2 linked regions of the Saccharomyces cerevisiae S288C genome follow. Each later gene encodes a partner of the first gene's protein in a complex. Each region holds a gene or a part of one and is shown in the gene's direction. Other genes may lie near its edges.

Region 1 (6,948 bases):
GAAATCTCGTTGAGTAGCCGTAATGGTACAATAAAAACGAAAAAGTATTCTCTATTGTGTCAAAAACACCCCTGTATATCCAGTTGTCCCTTTTTCAAGCTTGTATTGACAGTTCTGAATATCGCAGAACGGTTCTCATCAAAATTCAATATTGCGTAACGGACTTATTGTTGCATTTTCAAGTAAATAAGCCGGGTCAGGATGCCCGCCGTAGATAGTAAAAAGTAGGTATAACATGCGCAAGAGCAAAACGGATTTGACAACATATCCAAGTGATAAGTGGTCGTTTAGATACATCATATACTATAACGGTTTGATATTGAGAGCCCAGTTAAAATTAACATCTGTTTTTTGTTTTTTAATTGACATTCAATCATCGGTTGCTTTCCTTGTGAAACTGTACGCGTTGTCTTAAACGAAACGTGTTTTAAGGTAGGTCATCGACAGGTAAAAAATAGCTTATTAGCAGAAGAACGCTAGCGGTAAGATCTGAAACAGGATCGCACAGTCTCAATGAGTAACAAGAGGACATCTGTAGAACAGCTCATATCATGCCCAATTTGCTCTAGAAAAGTCTTTTTTTCCTTAATCAACTCTCATCTTGACATATGTGGCAAGGAAAAGTCAAAGCCTTCGAGTAGGCCACAAACGGTGTCAAGTCTTTTGGCAGGCCCAAAAAAGAGGAAACAAGCTAACTCAGAGAAATTCATTGATCTTGAAAATAAGGACCATGAAATTAAGCCAGGTCTTAAGAGCGAGAGTGATGATATTGAGATTGTTGAAAATGAAAGCAAAAGATTTAAGGCAGCACCATCCACGGATTTTGCGAAATCAATAGTGGAGCCTGCTTCGAGCAGAGATCAACTTCACAACGATTACGAAAGCAGATGGTTGCAGAAAATAAGCCATTTGCCACTTAGTGAAAAATTGAGGCCAAAAGAATTAAGAGATTATGTAGGTCAGCAGCACATTCTCTCTCAAGATAATGGTACATTGTTCAAATACATAAAACAAGGGACTATACCATCTATGATACTCTGGGGCCCTCCAGGTGTAGGAAAGACTTCACTAGCTAGACTATTAACGAAAACTGCGACAACCAGTAGTAATGAATCAAATGTTGGTTCCAGGTACTTCATGATCGAAACAAGTGCGACAAAGGCAAATACGCAAGAATTGAGAGGTATATTTGAAAAATCAAAAAAGGAATATCAATTGACCAAAAGAAGAACTGTACTTTTTATTGATGAAATTCACAGATTCAATAAAGTTCAACAGGATTTGTTATTGCCACACGTAGAAAACGGTGACATTATTTTGATTGGTGCAACGACAGAAAATCCAAGTTTTCAGCTGAACAATGCTCTCATTAGCAGATGTCTGATTTTTGTCCTAGAAAAGCTGAATGTCAACGAACTGTGTATTGTTTTATCAAGAGGAATTGCATTATTGAATAAATGCAGGAAACAAGTATGGAATATTGAAAATCCTTTGAAATTGTCTAGAAGCATACTGGAGTACGTGGTAGATCTGTCGGTGGGTGATACAAGGAGGGCGTTAAATATGTTGGAAATGATCGAAGTTTCAACAAGAGAGCGCAAGGCCGACGAGGAAGAATTATCTATCGATGATGTACGAGACATAATTAAGAACAACAGCAGCAACGGGTTGAATACATACTATGACCCAAAGGGAGATAACCATTATGATACAATCTCTGCGTTTCATAAATCCATTAGAGGTGGGGACGAAAACGCCTCACTGTACTATTTAGCAAGAATGTTGCAGGGAGGAGAGGACCCATTGTATGTTGCCCGAAGAATGATTCGAATAGCTTCTGAAGATATCGGATTACGGGATAGTTCATTATTGCCCTTGGCTGTCGCGGCACATGACGCAGTAATGAAAGTTGGTTTGCCAGAGGCAGACCTTGCACTGGCGCAATGTTGTGTTGCTTTGGCTAGGGCACCAAAGTCAGTAGAACTATATAGAGCTTGGAAGAAATTAAGGGCAATGATGAGCGAGAACATGTACAGTTTAGCAAGCAGTGAGATACCGATGCATATCAGAAATGCGCCAACCAAATTGATGGAGGAGCTGGGTTATCATAAAGGCTACAAGTACAATCCCGATTATATTGAAGGAAAAGTCCAACAAGACTACTTTCCCAAAGAAGTGCTCGAGAAATGTCCAAATAAAACTGACTTAAAGTTCCTGGACGGCAAACATTTAGGAGACAAAGAAGATCCTGACTTGAGACAGTCATATCAGGGTTAGTCAAGGGTCTTCCATACTTCTCTCAATGCCGCGTCTACAATTCATATTTTTTTCTCTGTTGGCCAATGCCGCTTGTTTTTTTACGCTTGAGGCGCATTGCATTGCTGGCACGTTTTTGTGCAGCATGAACGATATAAACTATAATTTTAGATAATCAAGGATCCACCTTTTTTTTTCATGCTAGAAAAGTCTCGCGGGCCCATCTGAGATATATTAGAACATATACGCATCCTATAAGAAGAGCACATTATTCTTGAATTAGTTCTTCCTTTTCCTCGACCTTCCAGCTTGTAAAATGAGCCAGGCTTGAGGAGCATAGATACGCAAAAATGGAAGATAAGCGGAAAAGACGAGCCGCTACACTTAGTACAGCATTGATATTATTTGTGGCATGCTGCGTTTATACACTATATATATTCAAGTTTGATAACCCTCGGTTGTCTCCACCAGTTTCCTTATTGCCTACAATTAGCACCTTGAAGAAAATTGAGCATGTAACAGATTTAAATAAGGAGTACGTTTTTGTTGGTGACGTTCATGGTAACTATGATGAGTTCATAGAACTCATTGATGACAAGATTGGAGGACTAGGAGAAAATATAACAATGATATTGCTGGGTGACTTTATTCACAAGGGCCCGGACTCAGACAAGGTCGTGTCGTATATTCTAAATCACAAGGATCAAGTCAAGTGCGTTTTGGGCAATCATGAAATATTGGTCATGATGGCCTATTTAAACCCAGACTTCTCGAAATGGGTAAGACGCCCCAAATTAATGACACCTTTAACTTTCAGTACGGAGACTAATTTCATACCACAAGACATCTCTAAAATCAGCAACGCACATGGACGGTTAGCTCGCGAACTTGGGTTTTCCAAATTAAGTCAGCTAGCGGAACATTGTTCTATGGCCATAGAACTAGATCTGGATATTACCGGTGATATACTCTTTGGTGCACATGCAGGGATGGTTCCGGGAGACTTCATGAAGCCCAACCAAATTCCGGGCGTGAGCTCTCTGTCAAACATGAAGTACGTTGATAAGAAGAACTGGTCAAAAACATCACGTGAAAAGGAAAACAAGAATTATGTGAGATGGTACACACTGTGGGACAAATACGGAGACCACTTTAGTAACGCCAAAGTATTTTACGGGCACGATGCATCCATGGGACTAAACCTACGGAGACAGACCAAAGGTTTGGACACAGCATGTATAAAGAACAATCTGCTTTCATCTATGAAAGTGAAGTACGATATTAAGAAGGGGCAATATGACTATGAATTAATTCAAGTACAATGCTCTTAAAACAAAAAGTACTACTTAAAAGCGCAACAGATTTTATATAATGTACTATATGAAAAAGATATGAATATTATTATGTAACTCATAATACTGAATCTTAAATTTCAATGAAACTTTCGCTGGAGCTACAAGTATTCTTGCCCAATGGCCGCTACCCGCCTCTTCTTCGTTGTTGAAGTTTTAAAATTTAGCGAGAAAAGAAAACAAAACCGAAAACAGACAACCGCAATCATTTCTTCAACACCCAACATCCAGCACCTAAACACCATCAATACACGTTTTAAACAAAACAAACCCATAGCCCAAAAGGTAGTAAACACAAACCGTTGTATACGCAACCGCCCTACATAAGACACTATTTGCGTACAGATTATCTCAATATGTCTAGTCCAGATGATTTTGAAACTGCACCAGCAGAATATGTTGATGCATTGGATCCGAGTATGGTCGTTGTTGACAGTGGTTCTGCTGCAGTCACAGCGCCATCGGATTCAGCCGCTGAGGTAAAAGCTAATCAAAACGAAGAAAACACTGGTGCTACTGCTGCTGAAACTAGTGAGAAAGTGGATCAGACGGAGGTCGAAAAGAAAGATGATGATGATACCACTGAAGTCGGTGTAACAACTACCACGCCTTCCATTGCTGATACTGCTGCTACCGCTAACATTGCTTCGACATCAGGTGCATCTGTTACTGAACCTACTACTGATGACACCGCTGCTGATGAGAAAAAGGAACAAGTAAGTGGTCCTCCTCTGTCAAATATGAAATTCTATCTTAATCGCGACGCGGATGCGCATGACTCTTTAAATGATATTGATCAATTAGCGCGTCTGATTAGAGCAAACGGTGGTGAAGTGCTAGACTCCAAGCCAAGAGAATCAAAAGAGAATGTTTTCATCGTGTCACCCTATAATCATACCAATTTACCAACGGTAACTCCGACTTATATTAAGGCATGTTGTCAAAGCAACTCGCTACTGAACATGGAAAATTATTTAGTACCATACGATAACTTTAGAGAAGTTGTCGATAGTAGGTTGCAGGAGGAATCGCATTCTAATGGTGTAGATAATAGCAATAGCAATAGCGATAACAAGGATTCTATCAGGCCCAAAACAGAAATAATCTCTACGAATACTAATGGCGCTACGGAAGACTCAACCAGCGAAAAAGTTATGGTAGACGCTGAACAACAAGCTAGATTACAAGAGCAAGCTCAGCTCCTTCGTCAACATGTAAGCAGCACCGCATCAATCACAAGCGGAGGGCACAATGACTTGGTCCAGATCGAACAACCTCAAAAAGATACCTCCAATAATAATAATAGCAACGTCAACGACGAAGACAATGATCTTTTGACACAGGACAACAACCCTCAAACAGCAGATGAGGGGAATGCATCTTTTCAAGCACAAAGGTCCATGATTTCGAGAGGCGCTTTGCCCTCCCACAATAAAGCTTCTTTTACAGATGAGGAAGATGAGTTTATTTTGGATGTTGTGAGAAAAAATCCAACCAGGCGTACAACACATACTCTTTACGATGAAATATCCCATTATGTGCCTAACCACACGGGTAATTCTATTAGGCACCGATTTAGAGTCTATCTTTCCAAAAGACTAGAGTACGTTTATGAGGTTGACAAGTTTGGTAAATTGGTTAGAGACGACGATGGAAATCTGATAAAGACTAAAGTTTTGCCACCATCAATTAAAAGGAAATTTTCAGCAGATGAAGATTACACTTTGGCAATCGCGGTCAAGAAGCAGTTTTATCGTGATTTGTTTCAAATCGACCCTGATACTGGAAGATCACTTATCACAGATGAGGATACACCCACTGCTATAGCGAGGAGGAATATGACAATGGATCCAAATCATGTGCCAGGGAGTGAACCCAACTTTGCAGCTTACAGAACCCAAAGCCGTAGGGGACCGATTGCACGAGAATTTTTCAAGCATTTTGCCGAAGAGCATGCAGCACATACTGAGAATGCTTGGAGAGATAGGTTTAGGAAGTTTCTTCTCGCTTACGGCATTGATGATTATATTAGTTATTATGAAGCTGAAAAAGCTCAGAATAGAGAGCCGGAACCGATGAAGAACCTCACCAATAGACCCAAGAGGCCTGGCGTTCCCACTCCTGGCAATTATAACTCTGCCGCCAAGAGGGCAAGAAATTATAGTTCTCAAAGAAATGTTCAGCCTACTGCCAATGCAGCGTCCGCTAATGCTGCTGCCGCTGCTGCTGCCGCTGCTTCCAACTCTTACGCTATACCAGAAAACGAATTACTGGACGAAGATACCATGAATTTCATTTCCAGTTTAAAGAATGATCTATCCAATATTTCAAATAGTTTGCCCTTTGAGTATCCACACGAGATTGCGGAAGCTATAAGAAGCGATTTTTCGAATGAAGATATATATGATAATATTGATCCTGATACCATAAGCTTTCCACCAAAAATTGCAACAACAGATCTTTTCCTGCCATTGTTCTTTCATTTTGGCAGTACGAGACAATTTATGGATAAACTTCATGAAGTTATTTCAGGAGATTATGAGCCATCACAGGCTGAAAAACTGGTACAGGATCTTTGCGATGAAACTGGTATACGTAAAAATTTCAGTACGAGCATATTGACGTGTTTATCCGGGGATCTGATGGTCTTTCCTCGCTATTTCTTGAACATGTTTAAGGACAATGTTAATCCTCCTCCCAACGTTCCTGGTATTTGGACACATGATGACGACGAATCGCTAAAAAGCAATGATCAAGAACAAATAAGGAAACTGGTTAAAAAGCATGGAACTGGTAGAATGGAAATGAGGAAAAGATTTTTTGAGAAGGACCTGTTATGAGTAATTGAATTAAGTAACATCATTGTTTAACTTATTTTACTCCTTTATTTCACTGATTCACGTTTTCTACTTTGTTTTTCAGTTCAATGTATAATTTATGTAAACTTTTACGTATTTTAATTTTCAAAATTCTTACAATGATTAAGGCGGAACAGTTTTATAGAATCCCATTAGCAAAAAAGAGAGAAGAAAAGGAGGAAAGTATAACGCAGAACGAAGATTCTCATTTTTAACGTGTCTTTTCTTCAAGGATAAAACGCCTAACTAGCAAATAACTGGCGATTAGCAGACTACAATGGACAGTGAAGCAAGTGACATTGAGGCAGAGTTATCCGACAGCGTCTCAGCTGGTGGGGAAGAATACATTGACGATGATGATTATACGGAAGATATTGACGATCAGATAGTCACAGCCAAATCATCTAGAAGAACAGCACGTAGGAGTGTACCTAAGGGTGTAAGAACCTCAAAACGCATTAGAGATAAAGAACTTTCTGTGG
Region 2 (3,441 bases), on another chromosome or scaffold:
GCTCTTCATTCGCCTTTGTTGTATCTGCCAATCTTTGTAGAAGTTTTTCATTGGACATCAAATCAACGTTCTCCTTGTTGATAAATAAATTCAATAAATTCATGGGAATATTTAAATCACCTAGTTTTAAATCTAATCCTACTTGAAGTCCATCCTTCAGAGGATTCATAATTTCACCAATTAGTAAGTTTGTATTCACTATAAAAATGGCATCAGCAATGATGGTCTGGCCATTCCAAAGAAGTTTTCTCAAAAAGGAATCAAATCTTAGTGACTTGATATGTTTAGAGTTATCAATTGAAAGAAAAAAGCCAAATTTTTCAATCGTGATATCGTTGTTGACTAATTGCGTATCTTCCAAAATGATCGTGACCCCATTGAGCCAGTATTGTGATAATGAAAGAATCTTAGAAATGAAGCCCCCACCATTATCTTCGGGGGTCTCTATAAAAGTTCTTTCTTCCTCTCTTGGTAATTCTTTATGAAGATCATTAGTAGATGATTTCTTGGAATCAATTCGTAGACCCTTGATGAAAAGCTTTCTTTCAAATACAGCAAAACGAACGGATTTTAGCCTGACGGTACCATCTTCTAAGGATAAACCGCATATTTCTAGTTTAAACAGGTTAATCCATGTTATATTTATTCCTAAAAGCTTCCTTAGTAAAATTTTACAGCTCCATAAGAAAGTCACTGCAAATATAAGCCACTTGTACAGTAGAACATTAATCGGAAACATCATCTACATATACCGAGGTAAAGGGCTTTTCTAAGGATTCTTATGTTCTGATCTAATTTAAAGCTGTTTGCTTTTACTGTCCTTTGTAATAGCTACCGTTCTTTGTCTCTGAGATGTCTAGGCCCTTTTAAAAGGGATTTATAGTTTATATCGCATTGAATGGCTTAATTGTCCAACTGCAACACCACCAAGACCCTTTTTCATGTCTCCCTTATTTCCGTCTTAATTTCCATGCAATGGGAAGTATATTTCCCGTGTAACGTGATATATTTGTGATGTAGTTCATGTTTGAGTTACAAGCCAAAAAAATAGGAAAAATATGCAGAACAAGAGTGAACGGGAACAAAAACTTGACAAATTTGAAACTCTGGATATAAAGGTTTTAATTTTATGTTTTTCTTGAGGATCTTCCATAAATTTGATCAATTGAATAAATTGGTAAACTTCACCCAAAAATTTGTTACTCCTTCAATTGTAATAGCGCTTAATCGATCCGAAGCTACTTATGCCAGAATAGATCATATTAAAAATGATAAAATAGATAAGGGGTCTCTATGACACTCTTTTTCCCGGAGCGTTGGAAATGATAGCGGCTATTTTTCTTTTGTCCTTAATATATTTTTCTCCTGCAAAGGTTAGGAAGTATAAAAGGAAGGGCAGTTTCATTTATGCATTTGAATTTTACCTTATGGCTCTTTTTTCCTCCTCCTCTTCAATGTAAATAAATCCTTAAAGATTTTGCTTCACTCCATATCCGTAACCGTTCTTGCTGACATGGTTTTCATACACATAATGTTATTATAAGGGATGCTTCTAGGTCAAAGGGCAACCCGGCTTAGTTATCTTGAAAGTTATTATTTTAGTTTTCTAATTTTGCAGCTGTTTTCAATGAAGAAAACATTGCGCTTACAGATATGTACAGAAGGGATCTTCTTAACCATCAATTTCAATAAGTTAGAACAATATATGTACGAATATAGATATAAATACGAACGTGGTTAGTATATAGAGACAATGGAGCATGTAGATTCCGATTTTGCACCTATAAGGAGATCGAAAAAGGTTGTTGACAGTGACAAGATTGTGAAAGCAATAAGCGATGATTTGGAGCAAAAAAATTTTACTGTACTGAGAAAGTTGAACCTTGTTCCAATTAAAAAAAGTGTTAGCAGCCCAAAGGTGTGTAAGCCGAGTCCAGTTAAGGAGCGAGTGGACCATGTTTTCTACCAGAAGTTCAAATCAATGGCCTTGCAAGAGCTAGGCACCAATTATTTGTCAATAAGCTACGTTCCGAGCTTAAGTAAGTTTCTTTCAAAAAATCTTAGGAGTATGAAAAATTGTATCGTTTTCTTCGACAAAGTTGAACATATACACCAATATGCTGGTATCGACCGTGCAGTTTCAGAAACACTGTCTTTAGTCGATATAAATGTCGTAATTATAGAAATGAATGACTACTTAATGAAAGAGGGTATTCAATCAAGCAAATCAAAAGAATGTATCGAGTCAATGGGGCAGGCTTCATATAGCGGACAACTAGATTTCGAAGCTAGTGAAAAACCTTCAAATCACACGTCTGACCTAATGATGATGGTTATGAGGAAAATAAATAATGACGAAAGTATCGATCATATTGTCTACTTCAAATTCGAACAATTAGATAAATTATCTACTTCAACTATAATAGAACCTTCGAAGCTTACCGAATTTATCAATGTTTTATCGGTACTTGAAAAAAGTAATAACATTGCATTTAAGGTCCTCATTTATTCAAATAACGTTAGCATTTCGTCTCTCCTATCGACATCCCTCAAAAAGAAACTCAACACAAAATATACTGTGTTTGAGATGCCGATATTAACATGCGCTCAAGAACAAGAATATTTGAAAAAAATGATAAAGTTTACCTTTGATTCCGGAAGCAAGTTATTACAGTCTTACAACTCGCTTGTCACATGCCAGTTGAATAATAAAGAATCCAACTTAGCAATCTTTTTCGAATTTTTGAAGGTCTTTCCGCACCCTTTTACCTATTTGTTTAACGCTTACACTGAGATTATAGTCCAGAGTAGAACTTTTGATGAATTGTTGGATAAGATCAGAAACAGACTGACAATAAAAAATTACCCACATAGTGCTTATAACTTTAAGAAAAACCAGCGTCTTCCACTTAAGTTAACTCGAAAAGTACATGATAGATAAATTACCAAGGTCTTTTGAAAGAGTTCGAACAATACAAAGAGATGGCAACTCCTTTGGAAAAGTTCAAGTTGAACCACCTCCGTTGTCTCTATTAATGAAGAAGCCATGAAGTATGCGAAGTTTTAACTGAATCATCTTCAATAATTATGGGATGTCTGGGTTTTAAACGTTTCATAATATTCAATTTTGAAACAATGATCCCAATACTGCTTTTTTTTTGACTAGGACTTGGATTTGGTTGCTGGTGCGTTAGAATTGTTGTCTGTCCTGTTATATTTATACCGGTGAATGAAATCATAATCCCAGCTCTGTCTTTACTTCTCATCGTCCTTTAACTTTGGAGGTGTTACTGTCGTACGTTCCTTCTAGGTTTTGCACGCACTATCTGAGGCGTTATAGGTTCAATTTGGTAATTAAAGATAGAGTTGTAAGATGGTGGATAAAAATAGGACGTTGCATGAATTATCTTCCAAAAATTTCAGCAGAACGCCGAATGGACT

Evidence for each region.
Region 2: the proteins of RAP1 (region 1) and RIF2 are in contact, whole or in part, in a crystal structure (PDB 4BJ5), measured with the Saccharomyces cerevisiae proteins. Residues at the interface, in NP_014183.1 of Saccharomyces cerevisiae: Ser692 (codon at 6,038), Phe693 (codon at 6,041), Pro694 (codon at 6,044), Lys696 (codon at 6,050), Thr700 (codon at 6,062), Pro705 (codon at 6,077), Leu706 (codon at 6,080), Phe708 (codon at 6,086), His709 (codon at 6,089), Phe710 (codon at 6,092), Gly711 (codon at 6,095), Ser712 (codon at 6,098), Gln715 (codon at 6,107), Asp742 (codon at 6,188), Arg747 (codon at 6,203), Lys748 (codon at 6,206); in NP_013558.3 of Saccharomyces cerevisiae: His68 (codon at 1,955), Gln72 (codon at 1,967), Lys75 (codon at 1,976), Ser76 (codon at 1,979), Leu79 (codon at 1,988), Gly83 (codon at 2,000), Phe342 (codon at 2,777), Asn343 (codon at 2,780), Thr346 (codon at 2,789), Glu347 (codon at 2,792), Val350 (codon at 2,801), Gln351 (codon at 2,804), Arg353 (codon at 2,810), Ala375 (codon at 2,876), Tyr376 (codon at 2,879), Asn377 (codon at 2,882), Gln382 (codon at 2,897), Arg383 (codon at 2,900), Leu384 (codon at 2,903), Pro385 (codon at 2,906), Leu386 (codon at 2,909), Lys387 (codon at 2,912), Leu388 (codon at 2,915).

The regions. Positions count from the first base shown.
Region 1 is NC_001146.8:237,725-244,672, forward strand, and holds RAP1 (DNA-binding transcription factor RAP1), read left to right. Parts: upstream 1-3,964; coding exon 3,965-6,448; downstream 6,449-6,948. Other genes in the region: ssDNA-dependent ATPase MGS1, read left to right, coding at 514-2,277; PPN2 (putative serine/threonine-protein phosphatase), read left to right, coding at 2,607-3,587; IES2 (Ies2p), read left to right, coding at 6,744-6,948. UniProt on the Saccharomyces cerevisiae protein: Essential regulatory protein in yeast whose DNA-binding sites are found at three types of chromosomal elements: promoters, silencers, and telomeres.
Region 2 is NC_001144.5:1,041,299-1,044,739, reverse strand, and holds RIF2 (Rif2p), read left to right. Parts: upstream 1-1,753; coding exon 1,754-2,941; downstream 2,942-3,441. Other genes in the region: FMP27 (Fmp27p), read right to left, coding at 1-742; GTPase-activating protein SST2, read left to right, coding at 3,374-3,441. UniProt on the Saccharomyces cerevisiae protein: Involved in transcriptional silencing and telomere length regulation. Its role in telomere length regulation results from either a block in elongation or promoting degradation of the telomere ends.